4 linked regions of the Neodiprion lecontei genome follow. The protein of the gene in region 1 purifies or fractionates together with the protein of each later gene. This does not show direct contact. Links are inferred from orthologs where the notes say so. Each region holds a gene or a part of one and is shown in the gene's direction. Other genes may lie near its edges. The genes, in order: UBX domain-containing protein 7, E3 ubiquitin-protein ligase Topors, cullin-2 and ubiquitin recognition factor in ER-associated degradation protein 1.

Evidence for each region.
Region 2: the proteins of UBX domain-containing protein 7 (region 1) and E3 ubiquitin-protein ligase Topors purify together in Homo sapiens (affinity purification with mass spectrometry; 4 studies listed by BioGRID and IntAct, with this or other methods). This does not show direct contact. The link is inferred for Neodiprion lecontei from reciprocal best matches to the Homo sapiens genes UBXN7 and TOPORS.
Region 3: the proteins of UBX domain-containing protein 7 (region 1) and cullin-2 purify together in Homo sapiens (affinity purification with mass spectrometry; 6 studies listed by BioGRID and IntAct, with this or other methods). This does not show direct contact. The link is inferred for Neodiprion lecontei from reciprocal best matches to the Homo sapiens genes UBXN7 and CUL2.
Region 4: the proteins of UBX domain-containing protein 7 (region 1) and ubiquitin recognition factor in ER-associated degradation protein 1 purify together in Homo sapiens (affinity purification with mass spectrometry; 3 studies listed by BioGRID and IntAct, with this or other methods). This does not show direct contact. The link is inferred for Neodiprion lecontei from reciprocal best matches to the Homo sapiens genes UBXN7 and UFD1.

Annotation. Positions count from the first base shown.
Region 1 is NC_060264.1:30,478,631-30,484,561, forward strand, and holds UBX domain-containing protein 7, read left to right. Parts: upstream 1-1,979; 5' UTR 1,980-2,293; coding exon 2,294-2,333; intron 2,334-2,773; coding exon 2,774-3,031; intron 3,032-3,291; coding exon 3,292-3,566; intron 3,567-3,720; coding exon 3,721-4,002; intron 4,003-4,101; coding exon 4,102-4,159; intron 4,160-4,237; coding exon 4,238-4,386; intron 4,387-4,506; coding exon 4,507-4,555; intron 4,556-4,645; coding exon 4,646-4,731; intron 4,732-4,859; coding exon 4,860-5,018; 3' UTR 5,019-5,414; downstream 5,415-5,931. Other genes in the region: mitochondrial import inner membrane translocase subunit Tim29, read left to right, coding at 351-492, 679-780, 1,090-1,499; histone deacetylase complex subunit SAP18, read right to left, coding at 5,819-5,912. UniProt on the Homo sapiens protein: Ubiquitin-binding adapter that links a subset of NEDD8-associated cullin ring ligases (CRLs) to the segregase VCP/p97, to regulate turnover of their ubiquitination substrates.
Region 2 is NC_060260.1:41,193,980-41,201,064, forward strand, and holds E3 ubiquitin-protein ligase Topors, read left to right. Parts: upstream 1-1,950; 5' UTR 1,951-2,113; intron 2,114-2,202; exon of another isoform or gene 2,203-2,304; intron 2,305-2,506; 5' UTR 2,507-2,554; coding exon 2,555-2,991; intron 2,992-3,242; coding exon 3,243-3,470; intron 3,471-3,700; coding exon 3,701-3,975; intron 3,976-4,422; coding exon 4,423-4,581; intron 4,582-4,742; coding exon 4,743-4,956; intron 4,957-5,060; coding exon 5,061-6,303; 3' UTR 6,304-6,560; downstream 6,561-7,085. UniProt on the Homo sapiens protein: Functions as an E3 ubiquitin-protein ligase and as an E3 SUMO1-protein ligase. Probable tumor suppressor involved in cell growth, cell proliferation and apoptosis that regulates p53/TP53 stability through ubiquitin-dependent degradation.
Region 3 is NC_060263.1:14,614,436-14,621,802, forward strand, and holds cullin-2, read left to right. Parts: upstream 1-1,720; 5' UTR 1,721-1,857; exon of another isoform or gene 1,858-1,949; intron 1,950-1,977; exon of another isoform or gene 1,978-2,425; intron 2,426-2,665; exon of another isoform or gene 2,666-2,962; intron 2,963-3,066; 5' UTR 3,067-3,191; coding exon 3,192-3,310; intron 3,311-3,388; coding exon 3,389-3,887; intron 3,888-4,218; coding exon 4,219-4,398; intron 4,399-4,506; coding exon 4,507-4,725; intron 4,726-4,851; coding exon 4,852-5,022; intron 5,023-5,105; coding exon 5,106-6,047; intron 6,048-6,354; coding exon 6,355-6,486; 3' UTR 6,487-6,834; downstream 6,835-7,367. Other genes in the region: uncharacterized protein LOC107224358, read left to right, coding at 1-109; proteasome subunit beta type-3, read right to left, coding at 441-489, 717-1,282, 1,557-1,559.
Region 4 is NC_060262.1:24,099,230-24,104,109, forward strand, and holds ubiquitin recognition factor in ER-associated degradation protein 1, read left to right. Parts: upstream 1-1,820; 5' UTR 1,821-2,373; coding exon 2,374-2,376; intron 2,377-2,497; coding exon 2,498-2,612; intron 2,613-2,691; coding exon 2,692-2,846; intron 2,847-3,351; coding exon 3,352-3,900; intron 3,901-3,987; coding exon 3,988-4,056; 3' UTR 4,057-4,369; downstream 4,370-4,880. UniProt on the Homo sapiens protein: Essential component of the ubiquitin-dependent proteolytic pathway which degrades ubiquitin fusion proteins.

The DNA of each region.
Region 1 (5,931 bases):
AATAAATGAAGAAAATGAAACAAATAAATAGATCGACTATCGTCCTTGTTCAAAATGTTTAAAGTTAATCCGCGTTCCGCAATGCTTTATGGGAAGTCCCCGCGCTTACCAAACCAGAGCAGACGACTTATTTAATTCACGATAAGAAAGCTAGTAGCCGTATTTTTCCAACTTTACTCAAGCGCGATGCTTTCGCGCCTCGGCTCAATTTATTAATTAATAGGAATTTTTCAACGTCACGTGCTTTGTCATTAACTAAGAACTTATTCTTATTATGGAATTTAAATGAGAGTGACTTTTCAGTGAGCGAAATTCAATCGCCGCACGCTTCGTTGATCAGTAAACTAACTATGGCGGTTCGGATATCCCATTTATTCCGTAATAGATTTAAACAATTTTTTAAAACCTATAGTACAAATTCAGCTGAGATAAGCAAAGCTAAGGATCCTGAAGTGACGGAGCAAGTGAAGGAACGGCTACTAGATCGTTGGGGTAAGAACAGGTCATGTTAATTTTTGTTCGAGGTTAAGTTAGGTTAGGTATTTACAGGTTATATTATATTTATATAAATTTGACGAAGCAATTCACAGAATATAGGGAGATCGGGTGTTAGCTTAGAGTATGCGAACTTGTTCGATAATCATTCGATAATTGTCACCTGTTTTATTTTCATTGTAGCAAAATATTGGAAGAATCTCTTCATTGACTACAGAGATGTGGCTAAGGATGTTGCACAAGGATGTAAGGATCGGCCTATTCGTGCTTCAATCTATTTCTCTCGTAAGTGAAAAATCATATTTCTTAATTTCCCGCAGTGAAACCTGCTGGAATGAGAGACAACTTAGTTTTTTTTTCTTTATCTTTATGATCTTAGATGTATCACTATACTTCTTTGTAAAGGATTCGCAGCTCATAAAAATACATGTTTAAGCCCACTATAGCTGCTCATCATTAGTGCAGATAACACTAATTATTGCAGTGAATCAAACCAAAAATACAAAAGAAAAATATATTTATTTAGAGTCAGAGGAGCCAGTAAATGTTCTGTATTCGGTATGAAATTTTCGTGTGAATTGGTTTATGTTTCAGTTCTAGGCAGTGTATACTACTTTTCACGACACAACCCTAGTCCAGATTCGTACAGAAACATGTTGATAGAAGAATCAAACAAGATGATGATGGTTGGAGAACCAATTCGGAATCGTCAAAGTGTAAGGCATTTGAAATCGATAGAACAGTGCTTCAATGAAGGGATCATACGCAGGTTGAGCTTGGGGATTGTTTCTTTTATATGGTTGGATAACTACGATAAAGAATGTGCTCACTACAAAGCAACATGTTCGTATCTCAAACCACAGTATTTAGGATTTCATCACAGAATAGTTGACATTGGTTTCATGGATAAGTGGTGGCTACTGGAGGACAAAATGACTGATTTTGATATAAATGAAGAGGAATTTAAAAACTTCTCCACTTCGCCAGATAAAATCGGCTCATAATGAGAATATCGAATATTATTGACGGATAAAATTACAAATATTAATTATTATAATAGTATTTATACATATGTACATATAGAAGGTTTATTCATTGAATAAATGTGCCTTCACACACAAGTATGGTAAATTTTTTTAAACTTATATATGCACTATTGATACTTTGGGATCGAAAGCTGGAATTTATTAGAGAATTATATTACAAGATGATGGAAAAAGAACGTGGCGGAATACTGCGCTTGAAAAAGATTCGAATGCTTCGAATTCATTAATTTCTGATAAAGTTGTAAATAATTTACTATTATTGGCCTATTCTGTTAGATCTAATCAAAAACTCGCGTGAAGGTAGTTGAAATGAAAACGTTATTTCAAGATATTTTCAATGAATTGTCCAACTCTCGTCAAAAGTCTCATCTAATTTCATGAACGGTGTAAAAAATCCCAACAGAGTTACCTTCTTATGAGAATATTCATGGTCCATGATCGATTGTGGCAACGGTTGCGCAGCGGGAGATAGAGAGAGGAGAGGAAAGCTGAAGACAAAATAGCTAATGCCGGTTGACAGCCGCAGTGATCCGTGGCTGTTATAAAATTCGGTAAAAGTTCAAGAATTCAAAATCTGGATTCGAAATCGCATCGATCCGCGACCGTGAAACGATACCGGATTTAATATTCAAGGGAAGCGTTCTTGTACCACCGAAATTTCAAACAAACACGAAGACGATTTTGTTTTCTCATACAACAATCGGCGAATAACAGATATAGAATCCAAAACTAGAGCTTGATGTTGTAACAGGATGGATCGCGAACTGATTGAAAAATTCATCGAAGTCACAGGTTAGCCCAAAAGCGAACAGTAATAATTGAAATATCAATTTCATTATACTCAGTTCTATATTTTGCCGTTAACACAAATTCAATGCTTCAATGTGACTGTACGAACAGTTGAATCGGTAAACAAAGAATGCAGGAGTCCGTTTCTCTGTTTTACTTCACATTGAAATGTTTATTTCCAAAGAATTGTATTACAGTAATATTCTACCCATTTTACTAGCCTTACCAGCATAACACATTTACCATGGGTTTTATTTCAATTCACCCTAGCTGACCTTGATCTCATCTGACCTAATCTTGAGTTTCCCAAGTTTTCCTCACTTTGATTCATTCATCTAACCTAACTTTATCCAATACTGCCCTTTTTGTGTTAACCTAACCTAATTTGGTTTCAAATTATTTTCTTCCCTCTCTTTCATGAGAACATTTTTTCCAAATTCCAGGATCCAGCGAGGCTGTCGCCAGACAGTACCTCGTGGTGGCTGACGGCAATGTAGAGACTGCTATTAGCCTGATGTTTGAAGGTGGCGGAGCAGAGGCAGTAGCAGACGTAGACGGTCAAACTGAACCCCCAGAACCAGAGATCAGGCCGCCAATTCTACCTACTCGAGAAGTGTTGGTACCAACACAGCCCGTCTGTGCGTTCCCCAGAGCATCGAACAGTGTGTTTGATAGATTTAGGGACTTTGCGGTAGAAACACGTAAGGAACAAGAGGCTCTCGATAACCGGGACGGCTTTTTATCCTTATAAATCGGCGTCGGCTTACCTTATTTCATCGTACTTTTTAATTACCAAAAAGTTTATGCAAGATATGTTTGTAATACGCGATGCAAATATCATCTTGATGCTGAGAATCGGCGTGAAACATCAATTTTTAGAGTTTCCTTTTGAGTTACATGGATTCAAGTGAGTTTCAAGCTAATATGCGATGTTTAAATTGAATGAATTAACTGATGCCAGAACGCCAGGAGGAGGAAATGGCGCGGAGGGTAACAGGGGTGAAAAAAATGTCACCAAGGAAGTCCAAGCGCCTGGAAGACCTCTTCAGACCCCCTTACGACATCATGTTTTTGGGATCATTCATCGAGGCTAGGGAACATGCGAAGCTCATAAACCGATGGCTTCTTGTTAATGTACAAAATCCACTTGAATTCTCATGCCAAATACTTAACAGAGACCTGTGGCCCAATGAGCAGATCAGGGATATGGTCAGGGACCATTTCGTTCTGTGGCAGGTAATTATATCGATCGCATACTTATTATTAGGAAATTTAACTCATACTTGACCTTCCATCGGTAACAGAGAAAAAGAAATATTATATATATGTAGATCCAGTAACGGCCTTTAATTTTCTACTCATGTGTAACTAGCGTTTGCCATATCCTCAGGTCATATCTAACACATCTGACGGTCAACGCTTCATCGACTTCTACAATGTCACTGATTACCCTTATCTAGCTGTTCTGGACCCAAGAACAGGCGAGTGTGTCCGGACATACGACCGGTTTACGGTAGAACATCTAGTTTCAGGGCTAGGTGACATGTTGAGCAATCATCTATCCCCGGAAACTGCACCGCAGGTTCCTTCTACCGCTACAGACGACTGGCTATCATGCCCTGCAGGTTCCATGGTCCGGCGGTGCGATGTGCCTTCCGAATCTTCGGCAAGTGTTCGTATGATGAAATACTTTGGTGATCATGTTTTCTTTATGCTGCGAAAGGCAAGAAAGAAATTGATAATTTTCGTAAATTTTAATTTTTGATCTTAGGGTATGACCCCAGAAAGCAAAAAAGCCAGAGGAATTCGAGACACGGCCGTGGAATCAGGTAACAAATTAACTACACCAAGGCATCAATGAAATACTCTGTTGTCCCATCATAATAAGCCATATTGCAATCTTCCAGCTAACAATGAACGTGTCGATGCTGGGCCCAGCGCGAGTAACGTAATCCTTCCTCGTAGTGGCGTTAGTATCTTAGGAAAACGGTCGCGAACGGAGGAATTATCAAAGACGAAAAAGCACGAAATTCTACATTCTTTATTACAGAAAAAGGTACGTCTAACACTAGTTGCAAATCAGCTTACCCCCACATTCTCTCTGAACCTCTTTTTACTTTTTCCTATCTTGTCCCTTTGATTTCTTACCTCTAAAATTTGAAATATATGATTGCAGAACGGTGAACCGAGTAATTCTGAGCCCAACTCAACCGTTGTAAATTCAAGTAAGTATAAATAACTTGATTTTTCACCTCTTGCATAATTTGATCCACAAATTATTGAGTCTTCGACTATTTGTTATGATCGTTCAACAGATGACGAGCCGTCCTTGCGTTTATGTCTGCGACTGCCAAATGGGGGCAAAGAAACTATCTCTATGGGAGCTAGCGACACGATAAAAGTAAGTCTTCAAAGAGTATAACCTCGTTTTGATTTTTTATCATTAGAATACAGTGGAAAAACTCAAAATACGATCCATCGCGAAGTTCTTATATCATGACATTTCTACTGCTTTTTTTTTTTCCACAGAGCTTCCTGGGCAGAATGGAAACTATGGGTTATCCGCCTTCGGAGCACACGTACCTAGTTCCATTTCCTAGGACAAATATTGGGGCTCTTTCTCAACAAACTCGACTGTCAGAAACTATTCTGTTTCCTTCAAATACCGTTTTTATAACAAAAATATAATTTGATCCCGTAATGTGGTAATTCAAGATTTGAGGGGAAAAAAATCGCAAATGATACTCCCTTGCCAGCGGTCGTTTGTATTTATTGAAAAGAAAAAAGGAAAAAAATTCGTCTCGTATCTGTAATACTTGCGCTTTTAAATTTTTCGTTACTCTTTATTCAGTTTATACATATAACTGAAAAGTTCTAGACACTTTTAACCGTTCTTGATTAACTTTTAGCAATGTTCAATATACCAAAAGAAGAATCGCCTCGTGTAAATAATTTCATGATCAAGGCTGAACAAAGTTAACTGATTCTCAATAATTGCAGATCTACTAATTGTTTTAATCATGTCTGAAACCAATCCAAATAAAAACAACCAATCGAATTTTATTCCATTGGATCTACATTTAATTTGGCGTTAGTCCAACTTTTACTTTCAATCCTTATTCGTATGCGATTTCAATTGGTAAATTTTTATAAGTACTAAAGTGAACCATTTATATATTACTTAAGAAAATGCAAAGCCGAAAATTGGTAAAACTGAACACTTGTACTTTATCAGTAATGAGCATATAAATCGAAAACAACTGTATAATTTGCAAAAATTCGTATTTGTAATTCATTTTGTTCCCGAATTATACAAAATAACAGTGAAATGTTTCACGAACAAATACTATGTCATAGGCTCAATTAGTATGTCACGTCGTAACGTACGTAAAAAGTATAATTGACGAATATATATTATATCTAATTAAGCCTAGTGAAAATGATTCGAACACTAATTTGAAATCGTACAAAATTGAAATACAACAAAGTCAATACTGCCGTAAGCCTCCACGTCGCATCATCGGCTGTGACATTCTATTCGGAGGGGTAATAGATATGTCCAAATAATCGCCGATCGTGAACCTGAGGAAAAAAGTTGCCC
Region 2 (7,085 bases), on another chromosome or scaffold:
ATTAAGTGGTTAACTTATTTTTTAGTGTTTTGTTTAAGACTTGAATACAGTATTATAGCAAAGGCAGCAGTAATTAACTTAAATACAGGAAAACTTCGCGCAAAAACCTGTGATTGAAAATTCATCCTCATGTGGTATCCACTCAGCCACACCACAGCTACGTCCGTGAGCGCGCGTTTGCTCGGTATGTTTATGGAGCTTGCTTGGAATTCGCTGATGCTTCTCTGGAAGATTCAGTTCGAGAAAAAAAAAAAATTTCCCCCAACCACTTGCCCATTGCACATTTTGCATAAATGTTATCGAGCTGGCTTCGTATATTTTTCCATAGACTGCGTGCACAAATATTCGAGAATACCAGGCGTCACATATTTTCATATCAATAAAAAAATAATATGTATTAAAAAAAAAAAAAAAAGTATTCGGACTGGGAATAGTTAACTAATTTGGTTCAGCGTCCGCTAATTGATTCCAAGATTTATCAAATCTGGAGATACTTTTATTCGCTGACATTCATAACTGAAACAAAAAAAATCCCAATTCTTGCATTCCTGGAAACATCTGTGCGAGCGGGGACAAGGATGCGATTGGCAACCACTTGCTCGAGCAGCCGAGTGTATCTATATATACACGATTGTGGGCCACCTTCGGTGCATGGCCGCTTGATGTCAGGTCGGAAATGGGCCACCTTCGGTGCGTGGCCGCCTAGGTGTCACGTCGACGCTCCAACTTAGCTGGTATCACGAAAAGCCGAGCGTTGGAGATCTCCCTACTCATCTCTGCTAGTAGGGTGGGGGAATGACTCAGATAATGAGGCAAAACCGTGGTTCTCGTCTTCGCCGTCTGCAGCGCTGCCCCCTCGGGGTGAGCCAATTTTTTCGGAATCGACAATCCTGAATAACACTCAAAAATGAAGAAAGATGCGAATAAAAAATGATTGAGATGTTTACTAGCATTCCATGGCGGGCGTGATAATTGTTTTATTTTAACGAAATCCTCAAATGTTTAAGTCAATAAAATCCATAAACATCAAGCGAGGGCTCACAACTTTTGAGACAGTTTTAGATCTTGTGGAGATGATCCACCGTTTACACACTTTACACTGAGTTATGAACTGTCAAAAACTTCGATGCGCAGATTATTTTATCGGTATATATCTATATCTATCTAAATATAGAGGAACTAAAAAATAGGGAAAAAACGCGTACAATTTTTTAGTATACGAGCAGCGGTGAGTGTCAAGGGGCTGACCACGGTTTTATATACAGGTCTGGAAACTCCTATGCTGGGAGCCACGATTATTCGTGTCGCTTAACGAGTGCAAATTTCGATTCTAGCGGCACCACCAATTGTCGCTGCGGTCTAGTTACCAGGATAACAATAATCTCAATAAATACGATGAGTGAGCGTGAGTGAGCGAATACTCATATACATATATGCGAATACCACGGCCTTGTCTGGACCCCCGGCCCCGCCAACGCTGTTGATAAGATCGCAACGAACCTAGTGGCGACTAGTGAACACAGAAATTGCTTCAATAAGCGACATACCCCCTCCAATGGAGTTTCCAGACCTGTATGTAAGACCGTGGGGCTGACCGTGCTCACGGTGCTCACGATCGAATGTTAATACTGCGTTTCCATCGAACTTCAAATCGGTTGACTATCATGATGTGAGGACTGAAGTATGAAGAATCCACTAGATTTAGGGAATTCCTTAAATCATGGGAATTCTTAAAAGTCCATTGTTTGCATTGTTTTTAATTAAACGGTTGACATATTGCTTTATCGGCATGCATGTATGTAAATATGAATACAGTGAAATGCATAAATGCTTTAATCTTTCGGCTATCTTGTTTCGGTCTGAAACAAAATACGAGTTCAATTCCACACGAATCATGTGACCACGACTGGCAGTGCAGCTGGAGCACGGATGGTTGGCTGGTTAGTAATAACCAGTTAACGCCCTTGGTACAGCTGCGAGCTTTATGATCAAATTAGCCGATGATGGCAGTCGGTGCCTGCGTTGAGCCCTTTCATATCTCTGCTACTGATTGTAGTTTTAATTGTCAACGTAACTTGTCGCATTTCCTTCGGTGGTAGGCAACATTTTAACGGTGAGCGGATGTCATGTGATGCGTTACCTTTCGGCTATTCCACAGTTTTAATCACTTAACTTTTCCTCAGTCAAAGCTACTACTCAAGGGCAGCTTGATTGGGAGTTGAAATTTTCGTGGATTTAATTACGGCTTTGAATATTTATATTCTCTGCCTCGGAATCCAAAAGATTCTGCCTGTATTGATATAAGTAGGCAGTTACGCGTATAGTATCAACTGTGCTGTATACAATACCCTTTGTACATTACAGTATAAAGAGAGTAATCGTAAACAATATCTGTAGATATTTGCATTTCCATCATCCAGTACTGCGTATTTTTCAAATCAAGTAATTTATTGCTGGACCTATCCACACTTGGGTCATAATATCTTTAATTGTGTGCATAATACAGGAAAAGGTAATGCAAGGACCAATGGACCACGAAAAGAATTGACGCAAAATGGATGAAGAAATAGAAAGCATACGTGCGGCCGCCGCTGCTATTCCAAAGGGTCCGCTAAAGACGGAAGAAATATCTCCAAGTAGCCCAGACAATGAACCAAGCGAGCGAAGTGACGGCACCACGTCTCCTCCACCTAATTGCAGCATTTGCTTGGGCAAGCTCGTCAACAAATCTTTCACCGACAGCTGCTTGCATCAGTTTTGTTTCAGCTGCTTGTTAGAGTGGTCGAAAATAAAAACAGAATGCCCTCTGTGTAAACAAACTTTCAAATCCATCATACATAATGTTAGATCCGAGGGCGACTATGATCAATATCATGTTCCCCGTCAGTTTGTCTCACTGTCTGCGTCACAAATGGCTGCAACAGTGGATGTTCATTTTGATCTGGTCAGCAGTATAAACCTGCCGAGGGAAACACATGGATTTAGTTACCGGTAAGTTAGCTAAAGAGAGATTCTTCATTCTTGGTTGTCGGTTACTGGCAATGGCAGCTAATAATTTTGAAATCACAATCAAGCGTTCTGCACAGAAAAAACTTCATGTTCCTACAATATATTTAATATGGATATGATATGCTGCCAAAACAATAAGGCCTGGTTCCCGCTAGAAAACTATTTACATGTCGTTCAAGAACGTATTTATTTGAATGCTAGAAATCGTTTTTATTGACAACCTTCTGTTTTAGTACAACAATGACACCTAATCATCGATACCGAAATATCTTAAATCCCGAACAAGTTATGAGGAATGAACAACTACCTGCTGTTACGTCACTAGTTACTAGAGAGGAACGAAGACTGCGACGTACTAATCCTATTGACTATCGGCGCAATGTGTATCGTTTTGGACATTGGGCGACATCTCTACCAGACATATTTGGAAACTTTAGGGAATGCAGTGCTGAATACTATCGGTAAGTTACACTGCTTATGTTTCGCATTTTACTTGTATTATTTAAAATGAATTATTACAGTTTCAATTTTGAATTCCTACTTTTTCCTACCATTTATTTCCATGACTTCAAATCTGAAGATTATTTTAATTATTTAGATACAAAGTCCAAAATACTTAGTTTTGGAATTTTATTAAATTTCAATGTTTACCAGGATACTAAGACATGTGTTGTATTGATCTATTTTACAGGCGAAACCCAAACCAATTGAATCGATTGATTCCTTGGCTGAATCGCGAACTGCAAGTATTGCTTAACAACAATGCTCCGCAAATAAGTTACGTGATGCGTGTTATCATGGAATCTATCACACGGCATGACTTGAGAAGTTCCGACTTTCGAGACACAGTTCGTCCCTACTTTGCCATGCACACCGAGCACTTTGTCCATGAGCTACTCAACTACGCGCAGACCAGTTTTGACTTGATTGGTTATGATCAATATGTTACCTATGTTTCAAATCGTGGTTAGTATATTTGATTAAGGTTGCATGTTGCAAAATTGTCCGCCAATTAATGTCACCGGTTCATACCATTCAAATTCTATCTCTTCTTCCAACAAAATTTATACATTCTATAGTCACATAACTAAAAAGATTTTCAACTGAACAATTTTACTGTCGCATTCTTACCCAATTGATGTAGCTTTTTGTTGGACTTTAAAATCCGCTACATATCTGTAGCTATGGAAAACATCTCTTTGGTCACTGGATTATAGTCTTTCACGTCTTTCGGTGAATATCAAGGTGTAAAATTATTTTGAATAATAATGGCCATTTGGACTTCCGTATCAGAATTTAACTTGGCGAACAGAATAACCGATGAGGTCAAATTGTATACAATTTTCGTCGGAGAATAGTTGTGGAAATACCTGAATTGATTTTGGACATCCTCATATGTCATATGTGTCGCAGGTTTGTCCAACGAATATGTCCCTGTCGTATCATCACCCAGTTCTAGTAGCAGCAGCATATCTACTGATTCAGATGTTCAAGTTGTTGAAGAAACTATCGATGCAAGTCGGATGAATATTGAGATGCTCGGAATAGGTCCGCATACAGTCGAGATGCCTGGTATGTAGTCTAATACTAAGTACATACATAAGTATCTACCCTTGACTAACACAGTCTTTGGGAAACTCAATAATAATACATTTTTTCCTTGCCCATGCTTGCATATATTTTGTGATTTCATGTAATACTTTACTCTAATCTTGCATTTCCTCTCTCTCAAGGTCCAAGTACAGTAGCCGAAGCACTCCGAGAAACTGCACAAACTTCTAATATTGTATTGACAATTTCGTCAAGCTCATCAGGAATATCAGATAATGAATGTGAAGTTGTGGGGTATGTGAAGCCTCGGCATGAAAGAACACCAGAAGTTATCGATCTATTATCATCGGATGCTGACACAGTGAATGTGCCTGATGCTCCCAATTTAGACTATAGGTGAGTCTTGTGTCTCTTACGCCAATTGCTTAGAATTTTATATGAAATTTCCATTTTCTTAATGCTGAATATCTGCCTCGCTGATCATTGATACAATTTTTTAGCGAGCATACTAGACATAACTGTCAAGTTGTGACAAAACAATGTCCACCATTTGAAGATTGTATAGATCGGTCTCCTTTTGATTCGCCGAGTGTATCAACCTTAAGCGAAGTTAACGAGGCTACGACTTCTACGGATAGGAAAAGAAGCTCAACTCAAAATACTCTGGCATCCTTAAAACGATTTTCTGACACAACGACGTCGGAGAGTGATGATATCGATTCTAATCGGGATTATACTCCCTACAGCGGTAACGGATCAAAGAACAAAACAAAGAAGTCAATCATTGCCACAAGTCCTGTACATGGTCAAAAGTACAAGCGGGGTACGAATATGTTTGTTCGAATAAAGCGTCGTGTTAAAGCATTGATTTCAAGTAGCAGCGAATCTGAAGGCCGGATCATAGATGGAATGTTCAAACCCGTGTCAATATCACCAGAAAGTGACAAGAGAGAATATTCTTCAAGTTGGAATGATTCTAGTCCAGACCGGCACAAAAAACGTCAGGAAACAAAAGGTAAATCCAAATTAATGAAATCGGCAATATCCAATATGATAACAGTTCGTAAAGACTTAGTTAAAAAGGAAGAATGGTGCAGTGAAAATTGTGCAGAAAGCGATGCCTCTCAACGAAGCACCAGTATTCCCAAACATAGATCTTGTAGAAACAAGAAATGTGGATCGAAGAGATATCGTTCGATCAAGGATTCAGATTCCGAGCGAGAAGTAAAGAAGCGTGAAAGCGACGAATATAATTCTTTTGAAGACAATGGGATGTCAAGTAAAAAACTAACAGAAGCTAATTTTAAAGTCGACTACAGCACGACAGATTCTGAGAGGAATGTGTTGAATGGTCGCTCAAGTAGCTATTGCAGCGCACGGTCGAGTAAAGCATATGTTGGTAAGAAAAAATCAAAACACAAGGATAGACGAAAAGAAAAGGGAAGTCGCAAATCCGACAGCAAGACTGTTGCTGCTACTGTCACAGATTCATTCCAGGCCGATGACAATTGCACACCAAGTGTTTCAACGGCATCTGTAACTTCATCCATTAGAAGTGACACACTTCTTTCATCTAGATATGCCAGTTCTAAAAAACGTTCGAGTTCTAAGGAGAGACGTAGATCCCACAAAAAATACAAGGAATCCAGAAAGTCTCATAAACGATCTAAGAGCGAATCTAAATCAAGGTCCAAGAAAAAGAAACGCCGTATTAGATCGTCCTCCAGCTCTGACTCGGAATAAAACATGTATTAACAAATTTGTTCATTAACGTTCAGTTCTCTGTTCGTGCGCGGCAAGATTTAACTCTCACAAATCATGTCTAGATGAAATATCTTGTTGATAATAATTCCCAACGCTAGCGTGCGCTAGCAAAAATAGGACCTGCATAATTCATAGATATACGTTATGGAAATAATTGATTGAAGGGTGATCATAGAATACACAATTCACGAGAGTAATTGAACGTTTCTTACACCTATGTTCTATTTTTATTAAAGGCCCCCCCCCCACCCTCTTCTTTTTTATGCAGTAAATACGGACGAAAAAAAAAAAAAATACAACGATAACACGTTTTCGAATTGAATCATTTTTTTGCTCAGAATTGAATGAAAGAATTCCGTGAATCATAAAAAAATGTACGTTAAATTTTCGATACGTCAAAAAAATTTCTCACACTATTTCAAAGTCCTATTTGAAATATGTTTGAGCACACTTTTAGTACGTCGGAGCAACTTTTCTAATTAATTTTATTCCTGTTTTTTCGAGCCTTCCCGAATTCATTGTCAGTTTTGGCCTGTTAGTGATCCGTGGCCTTAAAGTTCAGTAGTAAACCATGCGTTTAAACTGTCGTAATTTCGTAAACGTACGTTAGTAATATTGAGTATAAGTAATGGCAATATTCAATACTTCTATTTTTCTAAGTGATACAAAAGTGATAAGCTCCCTGCTTTATTAATCGATGACGTGCGGCGACGAGACAGAATTATACAAACAGAAACGCATTCTCTTGAAGGATAAAATCA
Region 3 (7,367 bases), on another chromosome or scaffold:
AAAAGCAAAAGAAAGACCGGTTCAAAAACAACAGAGAAGAGTGTTTCCGCTAAGATTCCCGAATGAGCAACCAATTAGGCCCGAGCAATTAGGACCAGTTACAAAATAATAGTAATGTCAAGCAAAAATATCCTGTAAATGTATTGTACAGGAAAAATAAAAAGGGATGGTTCCAACGAAATGAGTTCACTAAACACGCTCAATACCCAAATATTGTTTTCCCTGACAAAAAACTTGCGGTCATTAGTGAATTGCTGAAATCAGACATAACACAATTCATTTGACTGATATAAGGCAAGATGATTACAGAATACTATGAACCAATTGTTTCTCAAAAAAGTGTAATAAATCATTTTGTTTATTATTTTTTTTTCTTTTCATTTTGCTTAACCATACAGTTTAATAAAGAATGTTGATTTACGAATTTTGCCTGAATCACTTCAATCCATACGCGTCTTCAGGTGTCGTATGGTAACCTTGTCCTTCTCGCTGAAAAGAAAAGTGTAGCATTAGTAAATGGCTTCAGTATTGCTAGAATGCCAGATTTTTCTCACCACTTCATCAGAATGTTTAGTAAAATTTCAACTAGCAGCTTTTATTTGTAGATATACATATGTGTATATATATATATATATATACACATATATATATACATGTCGACATAGCTTCAACTTGAAAATTTTTTTTTATCACATTCTGTGCAATACATTACTTACATAATATAGACGATTGCACCCCATCCAGAAATAGCGTCACGATCACAAGCGTTGACCAAAGCCTGGCTAACAGTTTCAAAAAGATCATCAGGTTCCAAATTAGGCTCATAAAGGACCTCGCACATTCCATACAACTGCTCTGTACACGTTCCACCAACTACAAAGTCCTCTGGCTCGTTCGGGCAGCCAATCAAGTCCATGTTGCAGACAAATGGCTCAAAGGTGACAGGGTCTAGGCCAGCTACAATCGGTTCGACAAAGTATGGACCAAATCGCTTTTCATACAGTAAATTAGAGATCATGGAGCTAAAAGTTTTGGGATGAATCTTCCTGTCCTCCTTGAGCTCGTACAAGTTCAATCTGAATCTAAGTCTCTCCATGACAGTAATGGTATCTGTGGCTAGACCAGGCAGTCCCAAGTATAAATGTGGACCCATTTCAAATATCTTATCAAAGTCGCATGATATCGTTTGAGCTTGTACCCCAAATCTACGATCCGCAGCGATGGCGACGCAGTTTTTGCCTTTCATCGCTATGATAGCACCTCCGTTGTATGCCAAGATACTCTAAAACAATTGATATGAAGTTATAAAATTTCAGATACCCTGTAAGCTCAGAAATTTCTCAACATTAATGGGAATGTAAGGTACGTTAATTCATTACAGAATGGTTATAGTTTCTGTCACACAAATATGCAGTGTCATCTGATGCACGGTTTGACATAAACCTAACCTAAAAATAAAACTAAACACTGCATACGATAGAATCTTGCAGTGATTAAAAAGAATTATCTGTTTAATCAAATGACTTATGACTTATTGGTTTTATCGGAATTCTTACCATTTCTAAGGAATATCTTTGGCCTGGTTGTTGGGAATGCTCAGGACGCTGTTTCGTTCAGCAATCGTGCCGCCTCAGCAACTCGCAATCACAAACTAACTGATCTGGTGAGACCCATTTTACATCGTAATTTGTAGCCGCGGTACTTGACTCTGGTGGTGATTTGAGGAACGAATGCCTCACTACATTTCAGGGCATCCCGTACTTTGTGGAAAAACTTTCTAGACACCCCGCGCCCCTAGTTTTGGATTAACTGGGAAGAAAAAAATAATGGCCGTGTAATGTTATTGAAAAGTTTAAGGTAGATTATTTGGCTGTACATGTTGATTGGAAATGAATGAGTGGTTCGATTAGTTAAGGAATTAACCCAACACCGTTCCGCTGTATTGATACGTATGTAAGACGCGCAAGTTATAAGATTCGACGAACTGGCTCCCCAGATTCCAGAATCACGCATTTCAAATGTCATTTATTTTGCAACAAGGGGATGACTTGTCCACTCATATGAAATTTCACTATATTTTCAAAATTATAATCGCTGCTATATCGCGTTGCTTGAAATTCTGTTCTATTCGCGTACCCGAACTTCAAGCTTTCCTTTCGATCAAACCCTTCTATTTATATCAAACAACTATGTTTTTTGGTTACCTTGATAATCCATTACTCATACGGATATATTGGAAACTTCCAACGGCCAAGGACCTTTAAATTCCGAAAATCCGTTTGCCAATTGAGAATAGATGAAAATTCTCATTTCTTCTTCAATTTTCTGTTTGTCTACAATGGGAAAAACTAACGCATGAAATTATTTGAGACGTATGTAACCTTGAATTCCTTTCATCTCCATTGATTCTGATTCAATAACAGCTGTAAGTATAAATTATTCTCTCATTTAAGAGAAATCTTTATCACAGCAGAAATTTTTCAAAATTCTCATATAACAATATGTCGCAAAATGCGACGCTCTATTTGTCAAATGTACACATATGCTTAATCACTTTGAAGAAAAAATTTTCAGTCATAAAAACGGTTATACATATAGAAAGCTTGTGTATTTAGATACATTTGTTTTAATGTGACAGTACTTGTTGGTGAGCTAGCATATATATCAAGCTAAGACAGATGTAGATCAGGATTGTTTAAAGTAATTCATTGTTATGGTTTGAAGTATAAAATGAGATATGTCACTGATGCTTGAAACATGGAGGAAAGCAGCGATGACTCTGCACTTGCGTGTAGTTTATAGCTATTATGTTTTGACCTCGCAACTTGGCTCACGAAATGAAAACATAGGACTTTTAGACATGAACGGCATCGAGACACTATACAGTTTTCTTTTCATTTCCTGTATTTTTGCTCTGCTTAGAGTTTGAATTCATAAACATAATTGTGTATTTATACAGCAGGTACTTTGTTCGAATATTGACAAAATAGTTAATAGTAAAACTGCGTTCTCACCTTCGAATACCTCGTTTTATATGATCCACCACGGCATTATTCTCATTTTTAGATATCTCGCAGCTGAAGCTGTCATCTGCCATTTGTAATCCCGATACTTAGCATAAAAGAATTTCCTTGAGAAACATCCTGATATTATTGAACCTTGGAAAAGGTAAGCGGAAATAATAAAGAAGAATGTCGCTGAAACCAAAACGGGTAGACTTCTCTCAAACCTGGGATATTCTCCAACAAACTGTCAAAGGAGTCATCACGTTAGCCGATGTCCCCAGATCGACATGGAATGACAGATTTACGTACGTACATTTATATCTAAAATTTAGAACCAAGTATCAATTCGGCTTTGCATATTGCATAACAAATCTTTTCAACAGCGATGTGTATTCCCTGTGTGTTGCTTACCCTGAACCACTTGCCGATAGACTATATGATGAAACCAAGCACTTTCTCGACGATCATGTGTCAGAACTTTTGTTGGGGGTCTCCAAACAAGGGGACGCAAGTCTTCTGCAAGCATATCACAGTGCATGGACAGAGTATTCACAGGGAATCGATTACCTTCATCAACTCTATCTCTACCTCAATCAGCAACACATTAAAAAGCAAAAGACAACAGAGGCAGAAATAATATACGGGGCATCGTGCGCTGCCGCAGCAGATTACCAAGAGCAAATGGAGATCGGAGAACTTGGGCTGGATATTTGGAAACGTAAGATGATTACTCCCTTGAAGGAATCTTTGGTATCACTCTTACTAGCAGGAATTCATGGCGACCGATTGGGAAAAGCTCGACATGCTACCACTGACGTTATCTGTGGGGTCATTCAAAGTTTTGTTCGTGTGGAAGAATACAAAAAGAAAGGCCAGTTAGATGTACGTACAATAAACATCTCTTGTTTTATTAGAATTTATTTCAGCTTTTTCGCGATTGCTAACAATATCATATTGTTGGAAAGAATAAATAATAGCCGGTGTTGTTCTAGTCTTTGCAAAGCTAAAGTTGTTTCATACCTGTATCATTACCGACAATAATAGTCGTGCAAAAGCATTTTACATTCCTTCTACATGTTCGTGAAACTAATTTATATTCAAAAGTATTTTTCAATGAGATCCAAATTTTTGCAAAGTAAATATTCGCCGTTTTTCGTCCCAGTTATAAATTCAGTAAATATTCTTCTTTTCTTCACGTATCGTATCCTTGTAGTTGTATCAGCAAATTTTTGAAGAACCTTTCCTCGAAGATAGTGGAAATTTTTACGCAAGAGAAGCATCCGAGCTGCTCCAAAAGTCCGATGTATCTTATTACATGGAACAAGTGAGCTGGAGGTTTAGTCAGGAAGAACTACGCTGCCAAAAATTCCTTCATAGTAGTTCAGCTCCAAAGGTGAAGCACGTATTAATAAATAAGTTGAAACTGATGTTCACAACACGTCTCTTTAATAATATTAGATTACTTTCAATAATAATATTCAATTGGTAATGATTTCTAAAGGTGCGACAGTGCTGTCAGGAGAAAATGGTTGCCGCGCACTTGTCATGGTTACACACCGAAGCCGATGTGATGATTGAAAATGAGCGTAGAAGGGATCTCAGTTTTCTTTATCCTTTGCTGAGGCCATTGCCATCAGGCCTGGCGCCGCTTATTCGAAAACTTACAGCGCATATCACTCAGCAAGGCTTGAGAGCTATCGGAACTCTCCAAGGTGACAATGTGAGCATTTCCAAAGCGATCAAAGGTTGACATACATTCCGAGTAAAAAGTCAACAGCGCAAGTTTTCATCAGTCAATATTATTCACGATTTATGATACTAAGATCTTCTATTTTCATTCATTTAGGTTCACACGCAATTCGTGGAAAGCATGCTGGACGTCCACACCAAATACTATGAGCTCATTAAGGCTGTATTTAAAGGTGATCAAGCTTTCATTAGCGCCCTAGATAAGGCCTGTTCAGCCGTCGTTAACCATCAGCCTGCTTCTCGTCAGCCAGCACGTGCTGCCGAACTGGTAAATTTTCCCAACGCATTCCAAACGTGATTTAGGGACTTGTCTTGTGTATCCAGATGTAAAACTAATAGGCATTTTTTTAGTTGGCCAAGTACTGTGACTCCCTGCTGAAAAAATCATCCCGAGGAACAACAGAAGGCGACGTGGAGGAGAAATTGGCCCGGTCGATAACAGTTTTCAAGTACGTAGACGACAAGGACGTGTTCCAGAAGTTTTACGCTCGAATGCTCGCCAAGCGGTTAATCCATCAACAGTCGCAGTCAATGGATGCGGAGGAAGCTATGATAGACCGGTTAAAACAAGCATGTGGATATGAATTCACAAATAAATTGCACCGTATGTTTACCGACATGTCTGTCTCCGCTGATCTAAATACCAAGTTTTCATCCAATCTGAGGGAACGCGAAGGTCAGGGCCAAAAACAACTCGGAATCGGATTCGGAGTCTATGTTCTTCAGGCCGGTGCCTGGCCGCTCGGTCTTCCTCCCGCTCCCGGTCCTTTTCACGTTCCGCAGCAGCTAGAGCAGTCCATTCAGGCTTTCGAGACCTTTTACCACGCTCAATTCAGTGGGCGTAAGCTCACCTGGCTGCACCCTCTTTGCCAGGGTGAACTGAAGCTGAATTACTTGAAAAGGCCGTATCTGGTTACCGTACAAACTTATCAAATGGCGCTACTCCTGTTGTTCGAACAATGCGATACGTTGCCTTGCAAGGAGGCTGCCATGTCCCTTGGTGTGTCTCAGGAACAGCTCGAGAAACACGTAGTCAGCTTGATAGACTGTAAACTTTTGAAGAAATCACCCGATGGCGAACTTGGCGAGGAGACGACACTCATGCTCAACTTGGACTACTCGAATAAACGGACGAAGTTCCGGGTCACAGCCGCTCTTCAACGGGAGGGACCCCAAGATGCAGAAACCACTCACCGCAGCGTCGATCACGATCGTAAGCTTTACCTCCAGGCTGCCATCGTACGTATAATGAAGAGTCGGAAACTCCTGCGACATAATCAACTTGTGCAAGAGGTAAGATTTGATGCGTTGAATAGAGTCGTTGTAAAAAAAAATTCGTAAAACAAATATCAAATCATTGACGTTGGTTTGCCTTTGGTGGATGATTATTATTTTTATGAGAACAATATTCTAATTACAAGAAAAATCTAACTCGTACTAATTCGTTACCGCTACAATGGGTTACAATATTGAAATGTTTTTATCTGAACAACAATGACAATAACTCTTATTAATAACATGGACAATCATTCCAACAACTGAACAGAAGATTAAAGTTTGTCAAAGCAGCAAATAATCTACATATATTTTATTGTTACAGGTTCTTGGTCAGTCGAAAATTACTTTTGCTCCATCAATTGGAATGATCAAAAAATGCATCGAGGCTCTGATTGACAAACAATATATCGAGCGTACGGCGAACAGTTCGGACGAATATTCTTACGTTGCGTAACCTAGCTCCAATCCACCTTGCTAATTTATTTCAAGTAATAAGATACTCCCGTATGTCTTGCGTACTACGGCGCAACGTAAAGCGATTCATTGTCAGCAGGAGCAAGTAACTATGTGATCATCACTCTCTCTCTGTTACACAAGAATCATCTTGCATTGTAATCGCACGTCAGTTATCTGCCAAGGAAAATGAGATTCAGCCCAGTTAATGCAGCTGAATTGTAACAATGAAACAGGGCCAGGGAGTAACGTAAGAAACTTAACTACTCCTCAACCGATTAAAAGTAAATTAATTGATTAGGTAAAATGTAATATATACGCAACCAATAAAGATGCCGTTATTATTTTATCATCGGTCTAATGATTTCGGTAACAGATTCATTCTTTTTTTGTTGCTCCTGTACAAAGTGCTTCTGCAAGAGACAGAATATTCATATCCATGCCTGGTCTCAAAATTCAGTAATAGACGGTGAGGCAGAGCATAAGTCCGCCTATTCATGTATATTCATACTTATATTTATCAGTTGATCTTTGTTTTAACCTTTTTAATTTGTTTTCTAATTATTAATTGAAGGCGACTTTGTGCTGCACGTACGAAATGAAATTTCTCACTGTACATTTAAGAAGTCAAATCACACAATGCTTATAATGCTAAATAAATTAGTAATCGCTATTTTAACGCGTATACAAATTTAATAATGTAAGATTTTTCAAATCTTTACATATTGTACTAATCTTATCTCAGCCAATCGTGATTAATATCATTGTGACCGTTACAGTCATCATCTAATTATTCCACACCTTGGGTTAGTGAAAAGTTCTGATCAGTTTAATTATTATCTCGCTCTTGTAATCGGAGTCGAGAAATCTGCTCTTCATTGT
Region 4 (4,880 bases), on another chromosome or scaffold:
GACGACAACAGTTTAAATTCTCCTATATCTTAGAATGGCTTTATGTTGTAAAAAGGGAGAAATTAAAATTATTTAATGATAAAAAAATTTGAGGTACTGAGTTTAAAAGATCAATGAAAAAAACCACTTTAAAATGATCAAAAACTATGCGAATACGAGTACATCGGGATCTTCCGATTAATAGCACGATCAAAAAAAAAAAAAACCTTGTCCATAGTGCGGTTACGGTATGGTACTATTGGTTTCTTATATTCATTCATTGAAATTGTGGGATTCACGTAAGTTGTATAAATGACAATAATATTTACGAAAAGAAATTTTAGATTCTATTGTCATTTTGACTTGGCTTTTTTGGCTGGTTCAAATGCTGTTACTGCGTCTCATCTAGGTGGTGAGAGTGTAAATTGAACATGAATGAACCCACAGAGTAAAAGGAAAGAATAATCTTCCAAGGAGTCTCAATTTAACTGCCTCGACTATCATAAGAGGTAACACAAGGATTATTACATTTATTAACACACTTGTTAATTGTATAAGAACGAAAAATATTTGCATACCAATATATCGTTCATAAAAAATAAATACCCCAGCATGTCTGACCGCCAGAAGTTATACCGCTGTAGGCGTGTTTTACCCAGGTACCATATCTGTCGAACTGTCGACTATCATTTGACTAATTACAGCCGTGATAATTTCAACAAGTGAAAAGTTTGACTTAGAGATGGCAAAAAGTCGGCAGAATGGTGATTGAGATGTGATAAGTACTGTCAATTAGCCAAAAGTCAAAGCTGTATCATCCATATGAATGTTCTCAAAAACGTCTAGATCAAGACGATGCCAAAACAAAAATTAGATATCGTATGGAATTCATCATATCGAGTGTCCATTACAAAAAACTTGGTAAATATCGAAATTTCAAAGATTCCTTTGAGGATATTTTTTATTGCGTCAGGTCAGTTTACAGTCGAGTTTCACACTATTGATTGTAAATTAACTACCTCGTGAACATGTATGAACGTATGGTTGGCATGTAGTGAACTATTGACTTCAAACACGTTCTCATAATCAGTCTTCATCTTTTGCTGACAATAAGTCAAATATGATTCGTTACGTGGGTAGCAAATAATGATCTCCCGTTGTCATAATGCTCCGATATACGTCAACAAATCAGGATCTGCTCCTACTGTGTCTGAAGTTAAGTAAACCGCAATACTTCATTATCAAACATCTTGAAAACTTGACTTCTACAAAGTTACTAAATTTCAAAATAGTGATTGTTCTCTCAATGTTTCGTGATTTTGTTTTGTCATTTATCTATTCTAAACTGTGTCTACATTGTGCTTATTTGTTTTTGCTATACATTACTCAATTTCCTTGATTTAGCAAAAGACTGGTATATTACTACGCTGTTATTTTAACGTGACAAATATTAATTACATTACTGATTAAATCCAACTCAGCATGTGGTAAAAGAGTAAATTTATACCATGATTGCAGACTATTATTCAGAATGCAGCTGTATCTTTTTTTTTTACTGCTCTCAGACTTTCTCACGCTATTTATCGACAAATTACATGGTTCATCCATGAAAAGCTGTATTTTTTTCTAAGAAGCGCGGAGAATATAAAAATGGCCTGTATGCAATATTGGATCTGGTAAGAGGTAGGCCGATTTTTTCTATTTTTACGGTAATCCATGCCAATAATAAAATAAAAACCTTTTATCAACTCATAATAAGATCACATTTTCGTTGGAATTTTTCTTTGTGCTGTACCTCTAAGGTGTGTGCTGATCTTTTAAATCCACGCGTATTTCTTATACCCTTTTATCAAACCCGCGCGCCAACATAATTCTTTACTGTTCCGAGCAACCCTTTTGGTTCTCAGCACAAGTGCGAAAGGTTCGCGCTCTTGCTCATTCGTGTAATCCGTGGCTATAATACGGAAAGACTTGGCTTGTAGGAGTCGGACCCATGAACCTGTTACGTTATCAGTGCTATTCTGGTAGTTATTGTGAAAACTACGATCTTTTCCTTCTTTTCTAGCTGCAAACAAAGCCGAACAGTCTACGTCGATCGTTTTCCTTGTATCTAGACTCCGTGTCCACGGTTGTTGCGTTCCGAAAAACGGACCCTGCGCAATGCGATTCCATCTTACGTCCTCGTTGCTCGGAGAATTTGTGCGACGCTTTGTCTCTCTTTAACACTGTCGCATTTCCCAACTTTAACTCTGCAATGAAATTTGAAACATGACTTGGCTCATATCGATGTCTGACTCGCATGTCGTGCGACTTCAGGGTTATATATTTTTTGCAGAAATTTGCTCTTGATTATTGTATTTATAATAGTTAGGGTACAAAAAGAAGCTCGTCAAAATGGTGAGATCTTTTCTGTTGTATGAAACACCTAAATCACGTAACTAAGTAATAAAAATACGAATGCTTTACTGTACAATGAGGTTATGTTTATACAAATAAAAATTAGACATTCAACTTTCAGTTTGGGTTTAACATGTTTCCCGACATACCGAGGCATTTTAATACCCAATACAAATGTTTTTCCGTCTCGATGATCCCTGGGACCGAGCGGCAAGATGTGGAACGCGGCGGAAAAAGTAAGCTGACGATTGCCAGTGTTCTTTGTATCGCTGTCATAATTGACATTTGTTATATTTTGGCTTCTATTCTTTTCAGTCATCATGCCTCCTTCGGCACTTGACCAATTGACGAGACTCAATATCGTTTATCCAATGCTTTTCAAACTAACTAACAAAAAATCCAATCGAATTACACACTGCGGTGTTTTGGAGTTTGTCGCAGATGAGGGGAAAGTGTATTTGCCATATTGGGTATGTATTGAAGTTATAAAAATTAAATTTTACTGGAGTTTATACAAATGAGCAAGCAAAATCGCACAGTCTTGCTTGAAAACACGAGGTGCATCAAGTTTTGCTCGTTGACTTGCTAAGTCAATGTATCGTTCACAATTGATGCCATCTAGATTCTAAAAAATTTGTCAATTCTCGAGTCGAAAAAACTTTATATCCAGTTTCTTAATCCTCAAGCTGTTCGTCTCAGATCCAGGTTAAAAATTTATGCAAACAAGTACAAATCACTCTCTTTAAACTGTGTGATTGCATTTAATAATGTGGCGTTTGGGGGAAATATATTCATGCCATTCAGTCACACAAGTTCAAATCTGTTCAGACTGCTATAGTTTCATTTACGTATAGTAAGACGAGAGATTAAATATGTGCCTATATTCAAAGTTCTGAAGGACTTTTCAGTAATATTGAGCTGGGTATATTTAATTTATTTTTATTAAGGAGCTGACCATATTTTTATGATTTGTAGATGATGCACAACCTTTTATTGGAAGAGGGTGAAATATTGAATATTGAAAGCGTAATGCTTCCAGTCGCTACATTTTCGAGATTCCAACCGCAGTCTGAAGACTTTTTAGACATTACGAATCCTGGAGCAGTCTTAGAAAATGGTCTGAGAAGTTTTGCCTGTCTTACGACTGGGGATATTATTGCAATAAAGTATAATCAAAGGATATATGAAATGTGTGTATTGGAGACAAGGCCTGGCCCAGCAGTCAGTATTATCGAATGCGATATGAATGTTGAATTCGCGCCACCGGTCGGTTACAAAGAGCCAGAAAGAGTGATAAAACCCCAAGAAGAAACAATAGACCCCGTCGATATGATGCCCGCTCCGCTAGGATTCGTTGCCTTTAAAGGACAGGGCAATAGATTGGATGGAAAGAAACGTAAAGATTCTTCGCTGCCTGAACTAAGCTCTGGCAAACCAATATACGTCAGGGGAATACCGGATTATGATTATAAAATCGGAACGCTGAAATTTTTACGGACTACAAAGCCGGTTAATAATAAAGAGGTGGGAATTGCTTTATCATTCATTGTATTTTGTAAAAAAATTACTTCAATGTATAGGAATGAAAGTAAAACTAAAGTATTTTTGCAGAGTAAAGACGTAGACGAATTCAAGGCGTTCACTGGTGAAGGTTTTTCTTTGCGAAAATCGAGAAAATAGCGTGTGATAATAAAGAGTGAGGAAAGGAAAAATGAAATTATGACTGTGAAATTTATTTATCTATATACTCCTATTAATTTTTGAAGAAACTGTTTATAGATAAAGTACCGTTTCTATAACTTTTACTACATCTGTAACTTGTATATAGTTTCGGACATAGTACAGAAAGCATGTGTATTATAATTGGGTTTGCCAGAAGAAAACAATTTTCGAATTTCCACTCATTACGTCCATTAAATCCGATTTACACCATTGAGTCCATGTTTAATATGTTTAATTTCTTAATAAAAATTATCAGAAGTAGCTTAAAGAAGCACCGTGAACCGAAACGTGTCGTGAATTTGCGCCATTCTATTTACGTCACTGTTCAGTTTTCCAGTAATTTTCCAGCATAATAACAAAATTTTCCGGGAACCCAGCTGAATCAGCTATGATCGAATCGTGCTATACTAGGTAATATTAGATTTAATTGGCTTTAATTAATCGATGTATTTTTAATATCAATCAACTCCCAATTGAAAACCGGTAAAGTCAGTCTAAGATAATCGGAATCTATAACTTTTTTTCAGCTCTAATTATTTCAATCCATTAATTAAGAAAGGTGTACAAACATACGAAATTTATACATTTTACGAATCATCGGTGGTATGAAATGCCCATAATACTAGAGTAAAAAGCTATGGAGCTTTCATTTGGAGTGATTTGAAACAGATTTCAAGTGAGCACGTAATGTTTGTGTAAGAATACAAGTTTTTATTTAGTGTAAAAATGTTGTCATTCGTCAAATGAGAGAAATTGAAACTGAAGGGTTATGACAGAATTAA